Mus musculus: one gene and its partners. The protein of the gene in region 1 purifies or fractionates together with the protein of each later gene. This does not show direct contact. Links are inferred from orthologs where the notes say so. Each region holds a gene or a part of one and is shown in the gene's direction. Other genes may lie near its edges.

Region 1 (5,623 bases):
GTAGCAGGAGGTGGGAACTGAGCCGCCTTCCCCAGGGCCTCTCCTGAGACACAGCATGCATGCTTTCTTTCTCAGATGACCAGTGGTTAGACCTCTCACCAGACCAGTTAGACCAGCTACTGCAAGATGCTGCGGGCAGAAAAGAATCCCAGCCCGGTCCCCAGAAGGAGGAGCTGCAGAACTATGATGTAGCGCAGGTCTCAGACAGCATGAAGGCCTTCATCTCCAAAGTGTCTAGCCACAAGGGGGCAGAGCTGCCCAGGTGAGCGCACGGCGGCAGAGCTGCCCAATTAGTTGTTCCAGAGGTTGAAGTCATTGTCCGTGTGAAGTATTGTGTCCACCTCAGCTTTCTTCCATCTTGTTTCAATATTCCTTATTCCTTATCTGAGGTGAGAGAGGTTTCAAGTAGCCTTTGTAATTTCTGAAGCAAGGCAGAAAACTCAAAGGATTTAAAAGCCAGCACCAGACCTTGTTTGTTAGTTACTTTGGTTTGTTTGTTTGTTTGGTTGGTTTTGTTTTAGATAGGTCTCTCTATACTCTATATAGCCCTGGCTGTCTTGGAACTCACTATATAGACCAGGCTAGCCTTGAAATTGTAAGTATCAACGTGCCTCTGCCTCTACAGTACTTGTATTAAAGTTGTGGGCTCCCATGCCAAACGACTCCTCCTCCTCCTCCTTCTCCTCCTCCTCTTCTTCTTCTACCGCTTCTCCGTTTCTATTGATTACTCTCCGTGCTCCACTTCTGTAGACTCTAATTCAGAATCTGTAGACTCATGGCATGTAGCTCTCAATAAACTCAAGCCTCTGATCTCCTACCATACAAGCATATTGGAGTCTTGAAACTCAGAGAGAGGGGTTTAAGGAGCCCATCAGAGGAGGGAGGAGTCCCGGAGCTTGTTTGTGTCGAGTCACTGGGGACAGGGTAGGCAGATCGCTATGGGAACAGCAGGTCTCTGTTCTTTTCTCTTTGGTGGTAATGGCACTGACCTGGAGGCTCTGCACACTAACAAGTCCATCCTGGTGAGCTCCTCCCCAGCCCAGTGAGCCTTGCTCAGTGTGGGTGGTCCTGGACAATGTTTGTTGTTAAGAAAGAAAGAATAGGGGGCTGGAGAGATGGCTCAGCGGTTAAGAGCACTGACTGCTCTTCCAGAGGTCCTGAGTTCAATTCCCAGCAACCACATGGTGACTCACAACCATCCATAATGAGATCTGGTGCCCTCTTCTGGTGTGTCTGGAGACAGCTACAGGGTACACATATATAAAAAAAAAAGTGTTGTGTTAATGATCTCAGATAACTCGTCCCTCTCACTGTGTATCTCGTAGGGGCCACCAGATGCATAGCTTAGGTGTATGTAAAAGGTACATTTTTACTTTTCTGTCACCAGGTTTTTGTATTTCTATTGTCACTCAAGGTTAATGAGCACAAGGAATTTTTCCTATTTATTTAAACTAAAATTTGTCTTTTCTTGGATATTTCTGGTACTTTCTATAAGCATAGCACCATCTTCAAAAATACCTCAAAGAGCTGTGGTCAGGAGAAATGTCATGCCCTTTTCCCTTTCATCTTTCAGAGACCCTTCGGAAGCTCCAATCACTTTTGATGCAGATTCTTTTCTGAATTATTTTGATAAGATTTTAGGTGAGTTACAGTGTGGTGTTTACTTTGAAACTGTGAAGGGCTATCATTGTTGCTGGAGGACTGGGACATTAGGACATTTATGAGCCAAGATACTACGTTCTCCTAAAGGATTCAAGTTGTTTGAAACTGTAAAGTCCTGCCCTGTTGAAGCACTCTACCGAGGCAGCCTGATTAGTGCTTGGCTTGCTAGCTGCTCACTGACTGCAGGCATGCACCTTTGCTGTTTTGAAAGGGTTCTAGTGTGGCTTCCATATTACATCTTTGGCTTTTTTTTTTTCAGACAACGTTTTAGAAAGCAGTGAGAGAAGCCACCAGCACAGGGCTGGGGAGGTGCTCAGGTAGTGATGTGCATGCTGCATAGGAGAGTGAGGCCTGAGCACAGATCCCTGGCCCACTCGTGAAAAGCCAGGCACAGATGGATAGGCCCTGGTTCCAGGACTGAAGGGACAGAAACAGATAGGCCGATCCCTCCAGCCGCTGCTGAGCTCCAGGTCCAGTGGAGAGGCTGTGTGTCAAAATGTACACGTTTAGCCGAGTGTGGTGGCACTCGCCTTTAATCCCAGCACTCGGGAGGCAGAGGCAGGTGGATTTCTGAGTTCGAGGCCAGCCTGGTCTACAGAGTGAGTTCCAGGACAGCCAGAGCTATACAGAGAAACCCTGTCTCAAAAAAAACAAAAAACAAACAAACAAACAAACAAAAATACACACATGTATACACACACAAAACAAAAACATGGTGTGACTAGGCTGCACACTGGAGAGTAACAGTAAACGTCTGAAAATGTCAGCTCTTCCTAGTAAGCAAGCAAAATAAAAGCTGGATTTTTTTCTTACCTTATTGAAAAAATTAACAATCAGCTCTTTTTATCATCAAACTCTGCAGGAAGAAGTATAAGTTGTCGTTTCACAGGACAGTTTGGGACTCTAGGAAGCCCATCGTTTTTCACTTAGCAATTTCACTTCAGGGGTTTGCTCTGTGAACGATAAATGGTCACTGATGGCCACTGCAGTGCTTTTGTTGTCGTACCCAAACTCTAATGACCACCAAGAGAGAAATGGGTAAATAATAAAGTATGAAGTCACCTGTGTAGTCTGCAAGAAGAAGGCCTACAGGACATGGTATATAGAAAAGCATACCATAGTGCACTGTGAGGACATCTAGGTTAAGAAAGAAAACCATGGGACTGGCTTACTGGTCTTTCAAGGGACTGGAGTTTGGTTCTGAGAAATCAAGTTAGGCTGCTCACAACCTCCTATAACTCCAGGTCTATGGAATCCAGACCCTCTTCTGGCCCATGCACGTTTCTGCACACACGGGCATAAGCATATACACACACAAATGAAAATAAATCTTTTACTGAAAGCTGGGCATGGTGGCGCACGCCTTTAATCCCAGCACTTGAGAGGCAGAGGCAGGCGAATTTCTGAGTTCGAGGCCAGCCTGGTCTACAAAGTGAGTTCCAGGACAGCCAGGACTACACAGAGAAACCCTGTCAATAAATAAATAAATAAATAAATAAATAAATCTTTTACTGAAAGAAAACTGTATTTGCATGTGCCTGAACACAGAGCTGTAGCTGCTCCATCTGACATTAGACAGCAGCCGAGCTTTGAAGGATGACTCAGAGAAATCAGTGAGCAGGACACAGTGTCTCTGGGCAGTTGAATGTTGACATCAATGTATATTTATGTAATTTTCTAATTTTTTAATTGTGTATTTGTATTTTTAAAAGATTTATTTTATGTATGAGTATTGTCTGTGTATATTTATGTACACAATGTGTGTGCCTGGTCCCGAGATGGCCACAGGGGTGTTGGATACTCTAGAGCTGGAGTTCCAGACATTTGTGATTCACTGTGTGGGTGCTGGGAACCAAAACCAGGCTCTCTGCAAGACAGCAAGTCTCTTAACCTCTGAGCCATCTCTCCAGCTCCTAGACTTTTATTTGCATTTTTTATATTTTTTGGAGCAACCCAGGGCCTCATACCTGCTTCTCAGGTTCTACTCCTAGCCTCCTGTTTAAATAAAAAAGGAAATGGTGTTTTATTGTTGTTGGTGTGTGTGTATGTGTGTGTGTGTGTGTGTATATATATTACTGTGGAGGTGTATGTGTAACAACATGGTTATAAAGATCAGAGGACAACTTCGTGGAGTATTTTTCTCCTTCCACCTTTGGGTCGCCAGGTTGCACTGAAAGCACCTGTCCTTGGGAGCTATCTCAACAGCCCAGCTTTTCATCTTTTTAAGAAAAAAAACTTTTAATTAGTCAAATTCTTATTGAAAAACTAAAATTGAATCTCTTGGCTCAGCCTGTTCTCCATTCTATAATTGTCCCTGAATTACTGTTTTGGGAAAGTTTTTGTTTTTTAATTTTTCTTGAGACAGGGTTTCTCTGTGTAGCCCTGGCTGTCCTGGAACTCACTCTGTAGACCAGGCTGGCCTTGAACTCAGAGATCTGCCTGCCTCTGTCTCCCAAGTGCTGGGATCAAAGGCGTGCACCACCACTGCCCAGCTTGGGAAAGGATTTTTACAAAGTAGTTGGATTAAGTCATTTGGCCCTGGTGTGACATTCCAGTCCTTTTGAGAGGTACAACCCTGCTTGGACAATTCACCAAGTGTTCTTCTGTGTCTCGGTGACTAGGAGCAAAGCCTCAGGAGTCAGACTCTGAGGATGACCCGGGTGAGGAGGACGTGGAAGGTGTAGACAGTGATGATGACGTGGGCTTTGAGGCTCAGGAGTCTGAGTCTCTGAAAGGAGCCCTTGGCAGCCTCAAGTCCTACATGGCCCGGATGGACCAGGAACTGGCACACACCAGCATGGGCAGAAGCTTCACCACGCGGGAGCGATTGGTAAGGCTTCTTAAGCTCTCCGTCTCTGAGTGGGCAGGAAAGTGAGTCACAGTCATCTCAGTTTTCCTTTCTTAGTTTTTTTATTATTTAAATGCATTTTATGCATAAAACATATTAATAATAGTGAATATTTTGAGAATCAAATAATATATATAAAAATTTGTTCAACTTTTATATTCATATCCTTTCACATTCATATCCTTTCATACCCTAAATATATCATTAATGAATATTTAATGCTATCCATAACTGAGAATCCTATATCTAATGTTAAATACTAAATTGTTTCAAAACACACAAAATATTCTTTGGGAGTTAAGCATAGTAAAAGAGCATAAAATATTAAAAATGAATCATTAAGAACTATATTCAGAAGCCCTTATACGATCTGACAGTGACTCCTTTCTTTTTAACGTGGGGTGCATGCTAAGCACATAGACTTCACTAAGCGATACTCCCAACCCCAAGAGTGCCAGTTTTCCCTTAGCACTGATGTAATGAAAGATGATAGAGGCCAAGTGCAATGAATGACATGTGCCTGTAGTTCAGAGCTGCCGACGAGGCTGAGAGGGGAGGATCAATTGAACCCAAGAGTTTGACACCTATGGGACCACATATTGAGTCTGTGAAGGAAGGGCAGGTGCTAAGAGCGTAGCTCAGTGGTAGAGCAGATGTCTGATATGCACAGAGCCTTCGGTTGAGTCCTCACCACTGAAAAGAAAAAGATTATAAACTTGGTTTTCTAAATACAGACGTAATGACTGCTTCCCCCTCTTCTTCCCCTTCTCTGTCCTGCTCCTACCTTTCCTTCACTGTAGTGAGTTTGCCCAAAGTGGTTTTAAACTCTTGGGCTCAAGTGATCCTCCTATCTCAGCCTCCGGAGTAGCTGGGACTGCAGACATGGGCCTGGTTAATTATATTCTTCAAGGGGAGAGGAGACTGGAGAGTGAGCACTTGCTGCTCCTGCAGGGGGCCTGGGTTCAGCAGGGCAGCTCACAGCTCCAGTTCCAGGGGACCTGACATACTCTTCTCATCTCTGAAGGCATACCCTCGGTGCACATAGAGCCTTGCCCGCAAAACATTCATACACATAAAATAAATGCATCTTACCAAAAAACCCCAGAATATTTA
Region 2 (5,795 bases), on another chromosome or scaffold:
GGTGGAAGATAAGCTGTGATACATAGGTCCTGTCACTGAGTAGGGTGGTGGCTGTGACTTAGCCACTGATGGTTAACCACGCTCTTGCCATCCCTGCAGCAAGATTGTCATCAGAAAATCGATGAGCTCTTCTCTGGGAAGCTGTACCTCATTGGAATTGCAGCCATTGTGGTAGCTGTCATTATGGTAAGCACAGGGTCTCTGGTGGGTGGGTGGGATCCTTCCCAGGGCCTTAGGTGCTGACTATGCCCCTCCCTCCTGCAGATCTTTGAGATGATTCTGAGCATGGTGCTGTGCTGTGGCATCCGGAACAGCTCCGTGTACTGAGGCCCTTTGCATTGCACCAGAGGATCCCTGGAGTGACCAGAGGCCACCTTGGGGGACATGGCCTGTGTATATAATATTTCTGTATCACTCTGCTACACTTAGTCTTTTTACTTTTGAGTTTTTTGTTTTGTTTTGTTTTGTTTTTGTTTTAGTTTTTTTTTTTGTCCTGAACTTTTCCTGTTACCTTTTGGGAGCTGACATCACACATGGGTGGCATATGTGGGATGTAGGGGTGGAGCTGGCCCTGGCTTGCAGGGCCCTGTACGTCTGGGACCCCTGGAGAGTTCTGCCTGCTGAGCCAAACCTCCTCTACAGCTACTTGCCCAGAGGCTTTGTAGCCTAGCTAGAGGGCCATGCCCACCCACTCAACCCACTGTGGGTCACATTGCTCACATCTTTTTAATCTTTGTTCCTTTCCTGCCTCCATTTCAAGAGCTGGGTTTGTAAGCCCTCTTATGCCTTCAATGCACTTATTCTTTCTAACGTGTCACCTTCAACTGTAATTAAATCTTGAAACAGTCATTTAATAAAGGAGGAAAAAAATCAGGCATGCTAATGGGACTGCCAGACCTCTTCCTGTGCTAGCGGTGTCAGAGACCTGGCTCATCAGCTCTGAACTTTGCCAGGCACAGGGTGAGCAGGTCCAATAGAGGCTGTGGAACACAGTGGGTGGGGAGGGCTGGGACCCTGGGAGCACTCCATATGGGTCCTCCCTCATTTGTACCTCCTTATACTGGGAGCTCAATGCTGACTTTACGCCAGCCTTGACCTCATTTCCACTCATCTGTTGGACATGACAGGTCAGGCTGAGTCGGGTAGGAGGAGCCACCTAAGCAGGGAAATTCAGCACAGAATGATGGAGATAAGCTGCAAGAACACCCTCCTTTTCAGGGACAAGACAGTAAAGGTTAGCCCATTACCCCATCCATCTCAAGAAAAGATTCCACGGAGCTGGGTGGCTCTGGCTTGTGTCTCAATAAGTAAAAGGCAAGATGGCAGTTCACTTACCCCTGTGAACTGAGGATCAGGCTAAGCAACCTCCCGGACGCCAGGGGCAACCACCACTGTCTCTTTCCCTTTGTCTCCTGTCTGCGCCCCTCCCCCAGGCTGCTGGCATAGTTAATTGGCCACTAGAGGAGAGACGCCCTAGCCAAGATTCATGGCCCAGCTTCTAGCAGCCTCCCAGTAGGCTTATTTGTCGGTGAACCCCAAGCTTGTACTAGGACATTCTAGGTCTCCGCCACCTCTACCTCCCACGCCTATGCAACCTGTTCCGTGCTTGGTTGGTTTCTGGTCTGAGGAGCCCTTTATATCCTATGTTATGAGGTCCATGGGCACCAGGCCAAAGCTGTTGGAGGCCTGCTGCACAGCTTCAGAAACATAGGAAAGGAGAGGCGCATGCAGCAGCCCCATGGTGTCTCAGACTCTGATCCCTAAGGATACAAGAAAACAGCCCCACGCCTGGAGGAGGATTATGTGTGGCCTTGACTAGTAGGGGCGGCGTCCTGCAACTAAAGTGTCCGTTCCTGCGTCAGGAAGCACAGACAGGCAGAGCCCAGGATAGCGGCTTCGAATCTCTGAAGCCCCAACCAACCCACCCCAGGGACCACTACGTCTCTTCATGCCAAGAGCCAACCAGGACCTTGGCCCCGCCTCACTCCAGAAAGCCAACAAAGCACAAGACCCACACCACTTCCGCCCAGGGCCGGAAATGTCTAGGAAACTGGTTGGCGCTCACAGTGCGTGGTGACGCACTTCCTCCTTGTGTCGGACCCGGCCGGGACGGCTTCCGACAGGCGAAGCTGCAGGCCTCAACCCTTTGCGATTGGCAGTTAGCCCTGGAGTATTGTGGGAACCGTGGCTCCGCCTTTTCCTTTTTCGTCATTTCTGGGTGGGTTTCCGTGTGCGCTCCGGGTTGGCACGCTTGTTAAGGTTACAAGTCCCGGCTGACATTAGGCGGGAACCCATTGCCTTCTGGGAGTTGTAGTTTCTCGGGCGCTGAAGCCACGAAAATCTGATCGCCCGAGACTCGGTTTCCCAGGAACCCGAGCGAGACTGGACAGGACCGAATCCCGGGGAACTGGCGGGACGCTGCGAGAAAGGCGGCAGGGTATTGAGGCGTGTACGGACGCTGGAACGGTGAGCACTGGCCTCCCTAAGGCCGCGGCCAGGGCATTCCCGTGCCTGTTTCTGCCAGCCCTTCGTCCGGACCCGGGTGGCGCTTGTACCTAGAGAGGCTGCGCTTTACTGAGAGCCCGTGATGGGACAAGCAGCTGATGGAGATCTCCTGTCACCAGCATCTCCCAGTGCTCATCTATTGTATGTCCACACTGTTATGATCTCATGGTTGACTCTCTCCTTAACCCCACCTAACCTGCAGCTCCTGTATCTGTGCGCGCTAGGATACCCTTTAACCACCCAGCTTCGCGAGGCCTCCCGTCCGGCTGTGAGTAGAGGCACTTGACACATAGTGGAGGTGAAAGACGGGAGCCTGGGAGGACGGGGAGGGATGAGGCCTTAAATACACCCCTCACGGCGGAACTGGGACTGCTTCGCTACAGGTGGGACGGGTGTCAGGTCGTATGGCGGAGACAGAGGCTGGCCTGGAGGCTGATGAACCCACCGAGGATGACACCCTGCCTTCTGACACCGTCTCCCTCAGCGACTCGGACTCGGACCTTAGCTTACCTAGTGGTGTGGAGGTCCAAGTGTTGTCCCCAGAGAGGCTTTCGGAGGAGGGCCAGGAGGACTCCGGCCCTGAGGACCCTCCATCGCCCCCCACGGGCACCCTCACCACTGCAGTGCAGCCATTCCACCTCCGAGGCATGAGTTCTACCTTCTCCCAGCGCAGCCACAGCATCTTTGATTGTCTGGAGAGTGCAGCCCGGCAGGCACCGTGCTCTGCTCCCCAAACCAGTGTGAGTGACAATGGCAGCTTCAGGCGGCCCGTGACTCCCCCAAGTCAGACTCCAGCAAGGGGCCTGAGCAGAGTGCATGGGAACACTGGCCCGACTAGGGTACTCCCAGTCCCTGACTATGTGTCACACCCTGAGCGTTGGACCAAATACAGTCTGGAGGATGTGTCTGAAGCCAGTGAGCAGAGCAATCGTGATGCTGCCCTGGCCTTCCTGAGCTCTCGAAGCCAGGTGTCCCACACAGACTATGTGCCTTCTTTCAACCAGGACCCCTCTAGCTGTGGGGAGGGAAGAGTGGTCTTCACCAAACCAGTGAGGGACAGTGAGGCTAGGGCTGAGAGGAAGAGGGTCCTAAAGAAGGGGGTTGGGTCAGGTGCGGGGGGTGAGGCCGCTGTGGAGCTAGCCCATCTCGCTGGACCTGAGGCTGAGGAATGGAGTGGCCACCAGGGACAGCCAGAGGTGGTGGTACCTTCAGAAGCTGCCCATCCTGAGTCCTCATCAGGCCCCATAGGTGTGAAGGCTGTTGGTTTCCATGGCAGCAAGAAGCGGAGCAGAGACCACTTCCGGAACAGGGACGGTAACCCTGGGGGGCCGGGGTCTGAGAGAGGACCCTCAGTTTGACTGCAGTGCTATCACTCTACCCCTCACCTGCTAGTCCAAGTGGGAAGGTGTGGGCTGTCTGTGGTAGGGGGATGTGTGCAGCCGCTCTGGCAGAGACTGTGGGAATTGTGGGTCAGGGGACCTCGAAGGCCTTTGTGCCCCAGTGTTTAGGATGAATAATAAACGTTTGGAATATTTCTTGAATTGTGTGGCTTTTTCCGGGCCCCACTCAAAGAGTTCTGTCCAAACAGTCCTGGGCAGCCAACTACAGGACTGCATCTCTGGCAGCCTCACCTTGCCTTCCCCACTCCAGTGAGGACTGCCGTGAAGGTTTGCCATGGTCATTTACATTTGTCACTGATGAAACTACCCAGAGGGACTGGGCTCTTAGCTGTGTTCAGCCTTGTGCCCCTGATGGTAGTGAATGAGCATAATCTGCACAACCCACCCCCACCCCCACCCCCAGAAACCAATGCAGCCCCAGCACTGGGCCTGTACAGACCACAGGTTATAGGAAGAGGATGAGTTGTGAAGCAGCATATGGTTGGTGTCTGGCTGTGTCTCCAGGACTTGTGTGTGTAAGACACAGCTGATGCTGGGTCATTCCACTGAAGCTGAGCCAGAGAAGAAGAGAAGGATGCAGGGAGGATGCATGAGCGAATGTTTCCTGTGGAGGCCAGGGACTTGGACCAAGTTAGCTAGACCTGCTAAGACCCAGGTCTGCCCCAGCCTCTGTAGTCCCCATTCTCTGAGTTCCTCTAAAAAGGACCTGGATGGTCATTTAATTTGAGGAGCAGTGGAAGGAACGGAGATGCCTTTCACTAGGTCAGACAATCCTCCATATTCCCCGGGTGTTTGAAATGTCCCGTTTAGCCACCATTGTGGCCCAGTTTAGCTGATTTGAGGTGGTCTACAGGCTTTATAGAAAGTAAAGTAGCATTGGGTACCCTTGAGCAATATCTTGGGGTTTCTGCCAGAATGATCAGACAGATAATGCTGTGGGGGGTGAAAGATGGGAGGTAATTACAATAGATCTGAGTCCTGCCCTCTAGGAGCTGGTCAGCTAATGAGTGGGTCAGGGGTCAGAAAGAAACCTAGTGTTTAAGAGGTTGGCTTCTTAGGAACTCAGGGTAAGACAGGGGTTAGACCTAAATAGCCCCATCCAGGCAGATGGTGTCCTATGTAGGACTTGGCCAGATCCAGCTGTCCAGTCCAAGCCAGTGAAAGCTTTAGTGGGACATGAAAAATCTTGCCCTGCTGGAGAGGATACTTCTGAGGCTCCCGAATAGATGCCAAAGACATGAGTTTCATTCTCTTAGGAAGGGATGTCCAAGAAGTGATCTGTAGCAAGGCCTTGAAGACCATTTCTTGGGGCTGCTGGGAGTGGGGGAAGGTTGATGTGCCCCAAAAACTCGATGTGGCCAGGTCTGGGGCTCTAGAGCAAGTGGTTTCTCCATTTCAGGTGTCAGAGGGTGGCAAGCCAGACTCTAGGTACTCCCTGTCTCTAGCAGAGGCTGGCTGACTCCTGCAACCACAGTTCTGAGAGCCTGGGAGCAAGAAAGGGAGAAAGGACCCTCAGCTGGAGAGCCTCAGCTGGGGCAGGGCAGGAGTGAGGCAAGGGCCAGGACATGGAAAGTGGCAAGGCTAGCAAGGCCAGTGCTAGGCAGAGCCTTGGGACACTAAGGAACAGTGGCCTGCCGAGGGTAACCGACCTCTAGCACAGGTGGAGAAGGCAGGACCTAATACAATACACAGCCCGCAGCTTTGCTCTTGCCCTAATCTAGTGGCTGAAGGGAGGAGCCCATACCCATCTCATTCCCATGGCCTGAACCCATACTTACTTGAGTAGGTGCCTCCTGGAGCCAGTGTATCCGTCATAGAGGACAAGAGGAGCATACAGTAGTTGGCCTGGAGAGAGCCAAGGGAGGTACTGAGACTTCGGTGGGGACTGGG
Region 3 (6,308 bases), on another chromosome or scaffold:
CAACCCCCACCCCAAAAATAAACCCGAAAAAGCAAAAAGCATGTAGATATGTGCGGTGTGCATGTATGTTTACATGTATGAGCGCATGTGTGTGTGTTTGAATGTGGGAAAAAGTTACAGGTTGAGATAGCGCATCTTCCTTGATTTCTCTCTATTTACCAAGGTCTTGGGCAATATCCTTGCTCTGCCTCTGGAACTGGAGTTACAGGCAGATGAGCTGCCCCACTCAGTGCTGGGAAGGAAAATCTGGTCTTCTGCAAGTGTTCTTAGCCACTGAGCTATCCCTGCAACCTCGTTGTGCTGGTAACCACAGCTTCAGTGAGGTGATGCATGCAGCAGCTGGGTCCTGTCTAGACAGTTCTCACAGAAGACTGGCCTCTCCCGAGTTCCCAGAATCTCGGGTGGGAGCAGATATAGACCATTCACCTGCAGTTGAGCCCTGTTCCTTATTCTTTGCATTTTGACCAGTTGTGGATCTCCTCAGAAACCTCTACACTAATGTGCTGCAGAAAAACGCTTGGCAGTTTTTCAACCGGACAATTGAAAGCAACACAAATCCTTGAGTATAAATATAAATATTTAGAAGGCATCGTGGCAACATGATAATGTAGCAAAATAACAGTACATATTAGAGGGGAGACCCCTCACCTCCCAGATTACATTAAATTTCATACAGACAAACCTAATGAAATTAATTGGGTCGCAACAAATGATGCCTGTCTTATGGTTTCTGGTCCAGGATCAAAATCAACTAACTTGGGGAGGAAGGGTTTATTTCAGAACAGAAAGGGTTTATTTCAAGGCAGAAACAGGATGTAGCAAATACTGAAGAAAAGGTTGTGGAGGCATGTTGCTTACTTTACTAGTCCCTCATACCTTAGCAGGCAGGAGTGCCGGCCCAGGGGTAGTACCGCCCACAATGAGCCTTTCCATCCTGTACAGATTAAGATGTCCAACTTCCCAATATGAATCTTCTCAAAGTTTTCATGAAGTTAGTGTCATGTTTACATAAAGCTTAGCAAATACAACACCTTTTGGGTTTGCTTCACCTAAACAGTTAGTATCTGACCTTTTTACAAAGTGAGTTCGAGGACAGAGAAACCCTGTCTTGAAAACACCAGAAAAAAAAGAAAACAAGTTGTTGGTGCTAACTGAGATAGTAAAACTTATTTCAACTGACAATTACCTTACACATCATTCAAAAATAAACCTAGGGCTGGTGAGATGGCTCAGTGGGTAAGAGCACCCGACTGCTCTTCCGAAGGTCCGAAGTTCAAATCCCAGCAACCAGGCTCACAACCACCCGTAATGAGATCTGATGCCCTCTTCTGGAGTGTCTGAAGACAGCTACAGTGTACTTATATATAATAAATAAATAAATCTTTAAAAAAAAAAAAAAAAAAAAAACTAAAACACCAGGTAGAAAGCAAGTCTTTCGCAATGCTAAAGTAAATGTTTTCTATTTTTTCAACAAAAATGCCAGGGGAGAGCGCGAACGCAGTCCCCCACTACCACAAATTATGCAGTCGAGTTTCCCGCATTTGGGGAAATCGCAGGGGTCAGCACATCCGGAGTGCAATGGATGAGCCTCGCCCTGGGAAAACCACCTTCGTGATCATGGTATCTCCCCTGCCAGGTAAGTATGAGTTGCGAGTGCCGTGTGCAGGCTCTCCATCATTGTATACTTACTTTATAACTACGGTCTCTTCCTCAATGCGTCTTCTCTACATTATATTCTCTTTTCTAACCTTGATCCATAAATATACGCTTATATTATGTAAATATTATCAATAACGGAAAAAAATGTCTATTTAGGGAGAACCGGTAGCCTTTGCGTGAAATTCTCATCTACATATTCCACGCCTTTGTGGTGACGCCGCGGGAACTCGTCTGTAGGCCCCTCAACGCGACTCCGCCCACTAAGGCTGTGAGGCGGGGGCGGGGTTTGTTGGTAGTGGGCAATCGAATCTGGAATTCAAAACCTAAGCTTCTGCCCAGGCTCTGGGCAAAGAAAAAGTTTTTTTTAGCTCAATTCAGTTTCTGCTAGCGGAGGACAGGATTCTAAGAGATCCACCCTTGTTAAGTTTAACTAGTAAAAGAAAAATCGTTTTTCCGTGGTGTTTTTCTGAGTAGGTCTATTATACATTATTTACTTGCACACAGCCAATAAACCTAATAAAAACCATGAGAGAAGGGCTAAGATAACAACTTTGAAGAAATAAATCTGACTGGATAGTGATATACAACTGTAATCTCAGCTCTCCGCAGGTCACGGTAAGCAGAGCGAAGCCAGCCTGGGCTACATAACTGGTTACAGGTTAGACTGGGTTAGTGAGACCTTTTCAAAACCTAAATAAAGCTTAAGTTAAGAGGAGGAGGAGGAGGAGGTGGCGGCGGCGGCGGCGGCGAGAAGAAAAATGCACAAAGACAACTGCTATTTTCAGCGGAAAAGAAAACGTAGAGACGTGTTAACATTGACCCTCCGCACGCCCCGTCTCTTGCATCCTTGTCACTGGACGGCTTGCGCAGGCGCACAGGAAGGACTCGCAGTACGGGCGGAAGTGGAGTCTCCGGGAAGCTTTGGGGAAGGCGCTGGCGGAGTACACAGACGCCGGGGCGGTGTAGGCGTCCTCAGGTCGCCATGAACCGACTCCAGGATGACTATGACCCGTACGCGGTGGAAGAGCCGAGCGACGAGGAGCCGGCTCTGAGCAGGTGGGCCGCTGCCCCGCGTCTCCGCCCTGCCTTGGCTGAGGCCGTTGTGTTGTTCGCGCCGGCCGTCCCTGGGCGCAGTGTCGTCCGCTTCACTTGCGGGAGCCTCGGGGCGCTTGATGGCGCTGCTCAGTCTCTAGGGAACCAGGATGGACAGCAGTGCGGGAAGAGGGATGTTCCGGAATTACGTGGGCCCCCAGGCGTGAAGCCTTAGATGGAACCCTGTTTACCGTTTACTAGCACTGTGACCGAAGGCAAGTCAGTTCTCGGCCTCGCATCTGTAAATGGAAATACAAGTATGGGACAGTGTCCTAAGCTAGTGAGGGCCTGGCCCTTAGCACGAAGTACTTATCTTGAAGACTGTCAAGTAGAAACTAGGGAATAGAGAATGGAAAAAAAAAAAAAAAGGAATGGGCTTTTTTTTTTTTTTTAAGTTATGATCTCCACACGCATGCCATAGCACCCATATGCCCATATACACAACATTTTTCTTTCTTTCTTCCTTCCTTTCTTCCTTTCTTTCTTTCTTTTGTTTTTCGAGACAGGGTTTCTCTGTATAGCCTGGCTGTCCTGGAACTCACTCTGTAGAGCAGGCTGGCCTCGAACTCAGAAATCCGCCTGCCTCTGCCCCCCAAGTGCTGGGACCAAAGGCATGCGCCACCATGCCCGGCTATACACAACATTTTTAAAACTGTAATTTAAAAGTTAAATGAATTAAGTCAGACATGGTAGTGTATGCCTATAATCCCATCATTTAGGAGGCCAGAGGGTGAAGAGTTCAAAGCTGGTTCTGGGCTACGTAAGATTTTGTCTTAAAACAAGAAAAAAATGTCCAAGGCATTTCTTGCAGCTGGCTTTTGCTTTGTTGTTCTTTTTCCCGCAGTTTTTTTTTTTTTTTTTTTTTTTTTGTTTTGTTTTTTTTGAGACAGGGTTTCTCTATAGCCCTGGCTGTCCTGGAACTCACTTTGTAGACCAGGCTGGCCTCGAACTCAGAAATCCACCTGCCTCTGCCTCCCGAGTGCTGGGATTAAAGGCTTGCGCCACCACGCCCAGCTCACGCCTGGCTTTTTTCTCCGCGTCTTAATCTACAACTTGTCTCCTTCCATGTGGGTCCCAGAAATTGAACTCAGGTCATGAGGCTTGGTGACAAGCCCTTTGTCTGCTGCTGAGTTATCTTGCTGGCCCTGACTTAATTCATTTTTGTTGTTTTATTTCTTCCTATTATTGATGTACATTTATTATAATTCTGTTGATAGGAAACTAATCACAGAAGTCAGTCTACGATGACAGAAGTTAGTTAGAATTTGGAATGTACTGTAATTTTCTTAGGGCTATGATGTAGCTCAACGGTAGAACAGGTGCATGAAATGCTGGGTTCAGTTTCCAGCTCCAGGAAGAATAGTCAGTGTGCATAGTTCTCTCTATTCACAGTTTGCTGTAGCATAGTTTTCCACGTCTTTTAAATTAAATTATAGTATTTAATTCCTATTAAATATTTTATGTTGGGATATTAATTGTATATAATTATATTGGTTTTATTTAAATAAAACTCAGTTCTTTGAAGAAAGTTTTTTTTTTTTTTTAGTTTAATAGAATTAGTTAATGAATTGGTATAATGGTATTGGAAAGCAGTGTGATAATACGAGAAGCCAAAAGGAAAGCTGGAAAGATGGCTCAGTGGTTAAGAGCATTGGCTGTCCTGGCAGAACACCTGGATTAGGTTCCCAGATCTCACAGGGCAGCTCACACCATCTCACTGTAACTCTGGGGGATCCAGTGCCCTTTCTGGCCTCTGAGAGCATCAGGCAATACAACTGATATATAGATACACGTACAAGTAGAACGCCTATGTGCATACAAGGAGAAAGAGATCAGGTTATACTTGTGGCTCATGTCTGCAGCTCAGCGGTCAGGGAGCAGAGGCAGGATTGTTGCAGGTTTGAGGCTTGCTCTATATAGCAAATTTCAGGTTAACCAGAGCTATATAGTAAAACTCTGTCCCCAGAACAAAAAAGAAACCCAAAGCCAAAACTGAAACTAGGAAGGATTAGCTCATCTCTTGCCTATTAATGAGCATAATCTATGTGTAATGTGCTAGGTATATCCCATGCAAGCTTTTAAAACTTATAATTGCCATTGAGCAGTGTCTTAGGGTTTTACTGCTGTGAACAGACACCATGACCAAGGCAGCTCTTCTTATAAGGACAGCATTTAATTGGGACTGGCTTACAGGTTCAGAGGTTTAGTCCATTATCATCAAGGTAGGAACATGGCAGCATCCAGGCAGGCAGGAGCTGAGAGTTCTACATCTTCATCTGAAGGCTACTAGCAGACTACTGACTTCCAGGCAGCTAGGATGAGGTTTTTTTTTGTTTGTTTGTTTTGTTTTTTTGGTTTTTTGTTTTTTTGTTTTGGAAAACTCACACGCAACTTTAATAGGAGCAGCCCGACAGCATGCTCTCCTGTGGGCACAGACTAAAGAATAGGATGAGGTTCTTAAAGCCTATGCTCACAGTGACACACCTACTCCAACAAGGCCACACCTCCTAATAGTGCCACTCCCTGGGCCAAGCATACACAAACCATCACAAGCAGTAAGATGATGATAGAAGTTTTAAGTAATTTTGCTTTGTTTTGTGGTGCTATACCTCAGACTGAGGGCTTTGCTCATGCAATGTATGTAAGTGCTATACCTCTGAGCCACACCTAGGCCCTGATTTTAATACTCATATCCTCTGTGCTTTAAATGTGTGCTAGTTCTGAAGATGAACTGGATGTGCTTTTACATGGAACCCCAGACCAAAAGCGAAAACTCATCCGGGAATGTCTTACTGGAGAAAGTGAGTCATCAAGTGAAGATGAATTTGAAAAAGAAATGGAGGCTGAACTAAACTCCACCATGAAGACAATGGAGGACCAGTTATCCTCACTGGGAACAGGTCAGCTTGGGCTTAGTTCTCATAGATATCCTGTAAAGGGTTGTGTTCTTTTGTGTCTCTAGAACTTTGTGTAGGTGCTGAAGAATTACTCTGTGTGTGTATATGTGTGTGTGTGTGTATGTGTGTGTGTGTGAGTGTGTGTGTGGGGGGGCGGTGCTGGGGGTTAAACCTGGGTCTTGTGTTTGCTAGGCAAGTTGTTCTACCACTTAGATATCTTTTACATTTTTTTAAAAAAGATTTATTTTATGTATATGTACAGTACACTGTAGCTTTCTTCAGACACACCAGAAGAGGGCATCAGATCCCATTACAGATGGCTGTGAGCCACCATGTGGTTGCTGGGAATTGCAGCCAGTGCTCTTAACCACTGAGCCATCCCTCCAGCCCAATCTCTTCTAAATTTTTGAGACAGGGTCTGGCTAAGTTACCTAACCTTGAACTCACTGTATGTAACCTCTGTGCTCCTTTTACCTCAGCCCCTTGAGTAGCTGGGTGACAGAGCTGCAGCAATGGGTCTGACTAACACAGCACTTACTAAATGAGGGAGTGGATATGCTTGGTGATCTGGGCTTTGATGACTGATGTGTCATGTAGTATTGGGAAGAAGTGTATGTGGAGGCTTATTTTCCCTGTGGATCATATGTGGTTTAGTTTGTA
Region 4 (6,123 bases), on another chromosome or scaffold:
ATGCAATAAAACTTGTCTCAGTAATGTGGTTTAGAAGATGTACAGACATGTGTGTGTGTGTGTTAAAACATTTCTTGGCATGGCAATAAAAATACAGTTTTAGCCAGGTGGTTGTGGCTCAAAAAATAATGATAATAACAATAATAAAAATAATGAAAACAGAGGCTGGAGAGATGGCTCAGCGGTTAAGAACACTGACTGCTCTTCCAGAGGTCCTGAGTTCAGTTCCCAGTAACCACATGGTGGTTCACAGACATCTGTAATGGGATCTGATGCCCTCTTCTGATGTGTGTCTGGAAACAGCTACAGTGAAAGTCATTGCAAGGACTTTACAATAGTGACCATGATAACATTGAAGCTAGACTTGCTACTACTGCTGAGTGTGTCTGCTGGCTCTTTCTAAGGAGTAATGTTAGCTTTTTGTCCTAAATTTGTTTCCTTCCTTTCCTCTCTCCCTCTGCTGTTTTTTCTTACCCCTCTTTTACTTTGCTTTCCCCTCTCATCTCCTCTCTTAACAGAGTTGTCCTATGCAGCCCAAATGCCATCTTCCTGCCTCAGCCTCCCCAGTGTTGAAAAATACTCTTTCCACAGGTTATGTTAGGAGACTGGAGTCTGCTCAGTCGGGGAGGGAGCCTGGGTCAAGTTCTGAGCTCAATTCCTTTTCTTTCTTTCTTTCTCTCTTTCTTTCTTTCTTTCTCTCTTTCTTTCTTTCTTTCTTTCTTTCTTTCTTTCTTTCTTTCTTTCTTTCTTTTAAGACAGGGTTTCTTTGTATACCCTGGCTGTCCTGGAACTCACTTTGTAGCTGGCCTGGAATTCAGAAATCTGCCTGCCTCTGCCTCCCAAGTGCTGGGATTAAAGGTGTGCACCACCACTGCCCAGCCCTGGGCTCAATTCTTAACATTGTGGAGAGAAAAGTATTGTAGCTGTTCTGGCCACCTGGAATTACTTTGTTTCTGATCTTTTGCTGCAGTCAAATCCTTCTCATCCATCTTTCCTCGTCAGGCTATAATATAGACTCTCCTTGCAATACTTGGAAATGCTCTACAGTCAGCTACATCCTCAGTCCTGCTCCTATATTTTTTCCTAAGCTTCCTTCTAAGGTCTTTATTGGTTTATGATTTACACAGAACATTTTTTTTTCTTGTCTATAGCATGCGTTAGAGTGATCGTTGCCAGATAGAGGAAAGAGAAATGAGAGAAGAAGGTCGTTACCAGTGAAATTCCCCAGAGACATTTCTAAGTTTTCTAGGTTATCTCCTTTCCATCTCCCAAAGAAGCACGATTATTTGTTTTGATACAGTCTCTCTCTAGATCCTTGGCTGTGCTGTACTGGAACTTGCTATGTAGATTTGGCTGGCCTTGAAAACACAGAGATCACCTGCCTCTGCCTCTCAAGTTCTGGGATTACCATCATGGCTGGCAGGGTTTTTATTTTTATTCTTCAGTTAATTTTGTTGCTTGAAGCTCCAGGCATTAAATCTAGTACGTTACTTCTAATAATCAAGCATTAAGCTCAAAATCTGGCGCCCTGAAGTCAGATTACCATGCTATGCTTGCCAGTGCTCATCATGCTGTGTTACAAGAATCTTTAGGCGTTGGGAGAGACAGCTTAGGGGTTAAAAAGATTTACTGCTTTTGCAGGGGACCCAGGTTCCCAGCACCCAAGTGGTAGATCATACCTATCTCCATTCCAGGGGAGCTAATGTCTTCTTTTAATCTCCCTGGGTACCAGGCATGTCCGTGGTGGGCAGACATACATGAAGGCAAAACATTAATGATTCTTTGTTTTGTTTTGTTTTGTTTTGTTTTTGAGGTTTGGTAAACACTATATAGCCGAGGAAGAATTTGAATGTCTTTTTGAAAAAAAAATATTTTATGTATATGGGTTGTTTGGGTTGCATGTATGTATGTGCACCATGTGTGTTCTGTATCTACAGAGGGCAGAAGAGGGTTTTCAGATCCCCCTAGAATCAGAGTTTCGGACAGTCGTGAGGCACCATGTGCTGGGGATCACACCAGGTTCTCTAGAAGAACAGCTAAAGCTCTTAATCGTTTAGTCCTCTTTCCAGGACCAGACTTTGAATTTATGACTATTCTGCCTTTAACCTCCCGCCCCTCCACCCCCACCCCCCACCCCCCACCAGTGCTGAGATCCTACAGGTCTATGCATTGCCAGAAATGGAATGAACCAAGGGCCTCCTGTACAAACTGAAGTACATTCCCATCCCAGATCATCATACATTTTTGCCAGCCTTCCTTCTGCCTTGGATGGTCCAAGAGTTATTTGACTCTTTGGTACATAGTTACCACTATTAACAGTAATGTAATGAAGGAATAGAAGAACAAAGGATTCATTGAGTAGGAGTTAGTACTACATATCAGCTCTGAATTCATGAGAATAAATATAGGGGAAATGTGCAACGTACGCAAACTTATTAAAATTGTATGGCTTTGGCTTTTGAGGAACAATATCAATAGCCAATTAAATGTCAGATCTATTAGAGAGGGCTCCTAAACTGACTGGCAGAAGGCGGGGCGTGAGCCTACCCTGACCACACCCCTCGCCCTGAAATCCGCTTTTAGACCCGCCTCTCCGGCTCGGGCTGCAACGTCAATTGGAGATGTCGCTAATCCATCAGAGCATCTCGGCGTCTATTGGATGAGCTTCTGAGCCTGGTTGCGCACTTCCTGGAGTTGGGAACGCGGAGCGGACGTCGTCTTTCCGCCATTGCTCTGCGAGCCTAGCCGCTACCTGAGTGAGGGGCGACAGGTGGGTGGTGGGCGTCTGAGGCTGAGCGCAAGGTAATCGAGTGGGCCGAGCGGCCCGAGGAGCTGCGCCAGGCCCGGGTCCCGAGCGCTCAGCCCGGCTAGAGTGCAGGCCAGGGGGCTCCGGACGTGTTCCATCTGCCCCTTGTGGGCCCGGGCCTAGCTCATTAGTTTTGGCCTGCCTCTCTATCCCAGATTCTCCCGGCATGGCCGGAGTGTTTCCTTACCGAGGGCCGGGTAACCCGGTGCCCGGCCCTCTAGCCCCGCTGCCGGATTATATGTCAGAGGAGAAGCTGCAGGAGAAAGGTGAGAGGCGAACGGGAACGGCGTGCGCGGGCTCGAACGTGTAGGCGGGTTTCATTTCTTCCCTCCATAGGCAGGTCATCAGGGGTGTGCTTATTAGCAGTATTTACATTTTTAAAAATTGAGTCCAATCATTGAAAGTTTGGAAGTGCCTGTTATTTTGCAGGAGCTTATTGTGTACGTGTGTGTGTGTAAAATGCATCAATGACGATAAAACCTGTTTCCTTATAGGGTTTGCATTACTATGTAGGAATTAGACAACAACCCTCCCCAAAACATCTATAGCAAAAATATCAGGTGGTTTGGGGTAGTAAAATGGCAGGATACTTGGCAGTGAGTATTTCTCTTCACAGCATGCCGAGGGTTGCCCCAGGGCAAGAGTTAGGGATAATTAGGGTAAATGTGTGCAGCCCTTTAAGCTGAGGTGCTTTTCTAGCTCGAAAATGGCAGCAGTTGCAGGCCAAGCGATATGCAGAGAAGCGGAAATTTGGGTTTGTGGATGCTCAGAAGGAAGACATGCCACCAGAACATGTCAGGAAGATCATTCGAGACCATGGAGACATGACCAACAGGAAGTTCCGTCATGACAAAAGGGTCTATTTGGGGTGAGTAACATCCCAGGATAATATCATATGGAGTTTGACTTCTTTCCTTCCTCTGCCCCTTCATTGACAGTGCTGGATAGAGGGACTAGCATTTGGAATGTGACTTTTTAACTGAGACAGTTTCCCTGTGTGGGCATTTTTGCCCTGGATTTAGCTCTGTAGACCGGGCTGCCCTTTAACCGATAGGGATCCCCATGCCTCTGCCTCCAAAGAGCTGGGATTGAAGGCAGATGTCACCGTGTCCAGCATGGAACATGGCTCTAGGCTGTACATAGGATGACTGTAGGAGTAAGGCTAGGACCACTGGGATTCTGTGATAGTTTCCAGATCGTCTACCTATGCCATTGATTGTTTTGCTTTGCCCTGCTGGTGTTGTTGTAAAATGTCTGGTATTGTGGAACTGTTTGAAGCTCAAATTAAGACACTAGGCATTCTGGATGCCTCTTTGGTCACTATCATTCAGAGGTTTAGGATAGTTCATTCCTGGGGTCGCTCTTTTACTGTTAATTCTTCCACCTCAAGCTGCAGAGATTCTTAACATTCCATTTGGATACAAAAATTTGGCCTGTTAATTAATTGATGTGGGGGAAGCCTTGGAAGTTTTTTTGTTTTGTTTTGTTTTTGTTTTTTTTCCTTTTTAAAGATTTATTTAATTCATTTATATGAGTGTACTGTAGATGTCTTCAGACACACCAGAAGAGGGCATCAGATCCCATCACAAATGGTTGTAAGCCACCATGTGGGTGCTGGGAATTGAACTCAGGACCTTTGGAAGAGCAATCAGTGCTCTTAACTGCTGAGCCATCTTTCTAGCCCCACCTTGAGAGTTTTATTGCAAAAAATAATTTCTTAGCCAAAAAATAATTTCTTAGCCAGGCAGTGGTGGTGCACGCCTTGAATCCCAGCACTCGAGAGGCAGAAGCAGGCTGATTTCAGAGTTCAAGGCCAGCCTGGTCTACCGAGTGAGTTCCAAGACAGCCAGAGCTATATAGAGAAACTCTGTCTTGAAAAAACCATTAATAGAAATAACAATACATGATGTGAATAAAAGTACGACGGCAAAAAAAAAAAAAAAAGAAATAACAATAACAACAACTTCTTGCCGGGCAAGGTAATAGCATACGCCTGTAACCCCAGCACTTGGGAGTCTGATTACTTTGAGTTTGAGGATGGCCTGGTTTACAGAGTGAGTTCTATAACTGATAAGGCTGGACAGAGAAACTCTGTCCTAAAAAATAAAACATCAACAACAAAAATAACTTAAGCAGCCGTGGTAGTGTTTGCATGTAATCTCTGCCCTTAGCTGCAGAGGCAGGAGAATCATGGGCTTGAGGCCAGTTTGAACTACCTGGTGAGATGCTCCATCAAAAACAGCAAAGCCACGTGTGGTGGCACAGGCATTTAGTCTCTGTGCATGGGAGACAGAGATAGGTGAGACTTCTGTTCTATACAGTGAGTTTCAGGCCAGCCAGGGCTATACGGTGGGACCCTGTCTCAAACAAACAACAATAAACATTATTACTGTTATTATTGAAACTTGCTTTTGGTCTTCAGTGAATAGACCGTATTGGTCCTTTTTTTTTTTTTTTTTTTTTTTTTTTAGGAGTATAAGTTTAGTGGTATGATGGATGAGAGACAAATGGTTACCACATAGAACAGGGAAGGTATTGGAATTTACAGGAAGGGTAGAAGGAAGTTGCTTTCAAAGGGACGGGTGTTAGTTTCTACAGACTGGGTCCCGCACCAAGACATTTGAAAGGGAGAGTGGTATTAGATGAAGGTGGAGATGAGGAGGCAGGACTTGTGATCGTGTAGGACCTTAGTCCTAATTTGGGACTTTGGAGTATAAGGCAGCATTTTGTGTGGAACACGTGATAACTGGCTTGTCAGCAGGGGACAGATAACAGAACCCTTAGTTCTTTCTCATGGTCTCTCCTCCTCGTTGCAGAGCTCTTAAGTACATGCCTCATGCAGTCCTCAAGCTCCTTGAGAACATGCCCATGCCTTGGGAGCAGATCCGGGACGTGCCTGTGCTGTACCACATCACTGGAGCCATCTCCTTTGTTAACGAGATTCCCTGGGTTATCGAGCCGGTTTACATCTCCCAGTGGGGGTGAGAAGGGCTGGAGTATGGTGGGAGGTGTTGGGCGCTGGGGTGGGGTGTTGCAGCTGAGATCAGTGGACATGATGCTCTTGCATTTTAGGTCAATGTGGATCATGATGCGTAGAGAAAAAAGAGACAGGAGGCATTTCAAGAGGATGCGTTTCCCCCCTTTCGATGACGAGGAACCGCCCCTGGATTATGCCGACAACATCTTAGATGTTGAGCCACTGGAAGCCATTCAGCTAGAGCTGGACCCAGAGGAGGATGCCCCTGTGTTGGACTGGTTCTATGACCACCAGCCTTTGAGAGACAGTAGGAAGTGAGTGGAACTAATTTCTGTGAGAG

What was found.
Region 2: the proteins of Ecd (region 1) and Tssc4 purify together in Homo sapiens (affinity purification with mass spectrometry; 3 studies listed by BioGRID and IntAct, counting the BioPlex papers as one, with this or other methods). This does not show direct contact. The link is inferred for Mus musculus from reciprocal best matches to the Homo sapiens genes ECD and TSSC4.
Region 3: the proteins of Ecd (region 1) and Eapp purify together in Homo sapiens (affinity purification with mass spectrometry; 3 studies listed by BioGRID and IntAct, counting the BioPlex papers as one, with this or other methods). This does not show direct contact. The link is inferred for Mus musculus from reciprocal best matches to the Homo sapiens genes ECD and EAPP.
Region 4: the proteins of Ecd (region 1) and Prpf8 purify together in Homo sapiens (affinity purification with mass spectrometry; 7 studies listed by BioGRID and IntAct, counting the BioPlex papers as one, with this or other methods). This does not show direct contact. The link is inferred for Mus musculus from reciprocal best matches to the Homo sapiens genes ECD and PRPF8.

What each region holds. Positions count from the first base shown.
Region 1 is NC_000080.6:20,323,242-20,328,864, reverse strand, and holds part of Ecd (protein ecdysoneless homolog), read left to right. Parts: intron 1-75; coding exon 76-262; intron 263-1,573; coding exon 1,574-1,641; intron 1,642-4,283; coding exon 4,284-4,492; intron 4,493-5,623. UniProt on the Homo sapiens protein: Regulator of p53/TP53 stability and function. Inhibits MDM2-mediated degradation of p53/TP53 possibly by cooperating in part with TXNIP. May be involved transcriptional regulation. In vitro has intrinsic transactivation activity enhanced by EP300.
Region 2 is NC_000073.6:143,067,048-143,072,842, forward strand, and holds Tssc4 (protein TSSC4), read left to right. Parts: upstream 1-2,320; 5' UTR 2,321-2,466; exon of another isoform or gene 2,467-2,587; coding exon of another isoform or gene 2,588-2,773; 5' UTR 2,774-2,803; intron 2,804-2,888; coding exon of another isoform or gene 2,889-2,909; coding exon 2,910-3,863; 3' UTR 3,864-4,040; downstream 4,041-5,795. Other genes in the region: CD81 antigen, read left to right, coding at 100-186, 265-327; Trpm5 (transient receptor potential cation channel subfamily M member 5), read right to left, coding at 5,301-5,389, 5,684-5,750. UniProt on the Homo sapiens protein: Protein associated with the U5 snRNP, during its maturation and its post-splicing recycling and which is required for spliceosomal tri-snRNP complex assembly in the nucleus.
Region 3 is NC_000078.6:54,692,118-54,698,425, reverse strand, and holds the start of Eapp (E2F-associated phosphoprotein), read left to right. Parts: upstream 1-2,531; 5' UTR 2,532-2,641; coding exon 2,642-2,715; exon of another isoform or gene 2,716-2,966; intron 2,967-5,469; coding exon 5,470-5,651; intron 5,652-6,308. UniProt on the Homo sapiens protein: May play an important role in the fine-tuning of both major E2F1 activities, the regulation of the cell-cycle and the induction of apoptosis. Promotes S-phase entry, and inhibits p14(ARP) expression.
Region 4 is NC_000077.6:75,484,120-75,490,242, forward strand, and holds the start of Prpf8 (pre-mRNA-processing-splicing factor 8), read left to right. Parts: upstream 1-2,657; 5' UTR 2,658-2,972; coding exon 2,973-3,072; intron 3,073-3,505; coding exon 3,506-3,674; intron 3,675-5,622; coding exon 5,623-5,787; intron 5,788-5,878; coding exon 5,879-6,097; intron 6,098-6,123. UniProt on the Homo sapiens protein: Plays a role in pre-mRNA splicing as core component of precatalytic, catalytic and postcatalytic spliceosomal complexes, both of the predominant U2-type spliceosome and the minor U12-type spliceosome.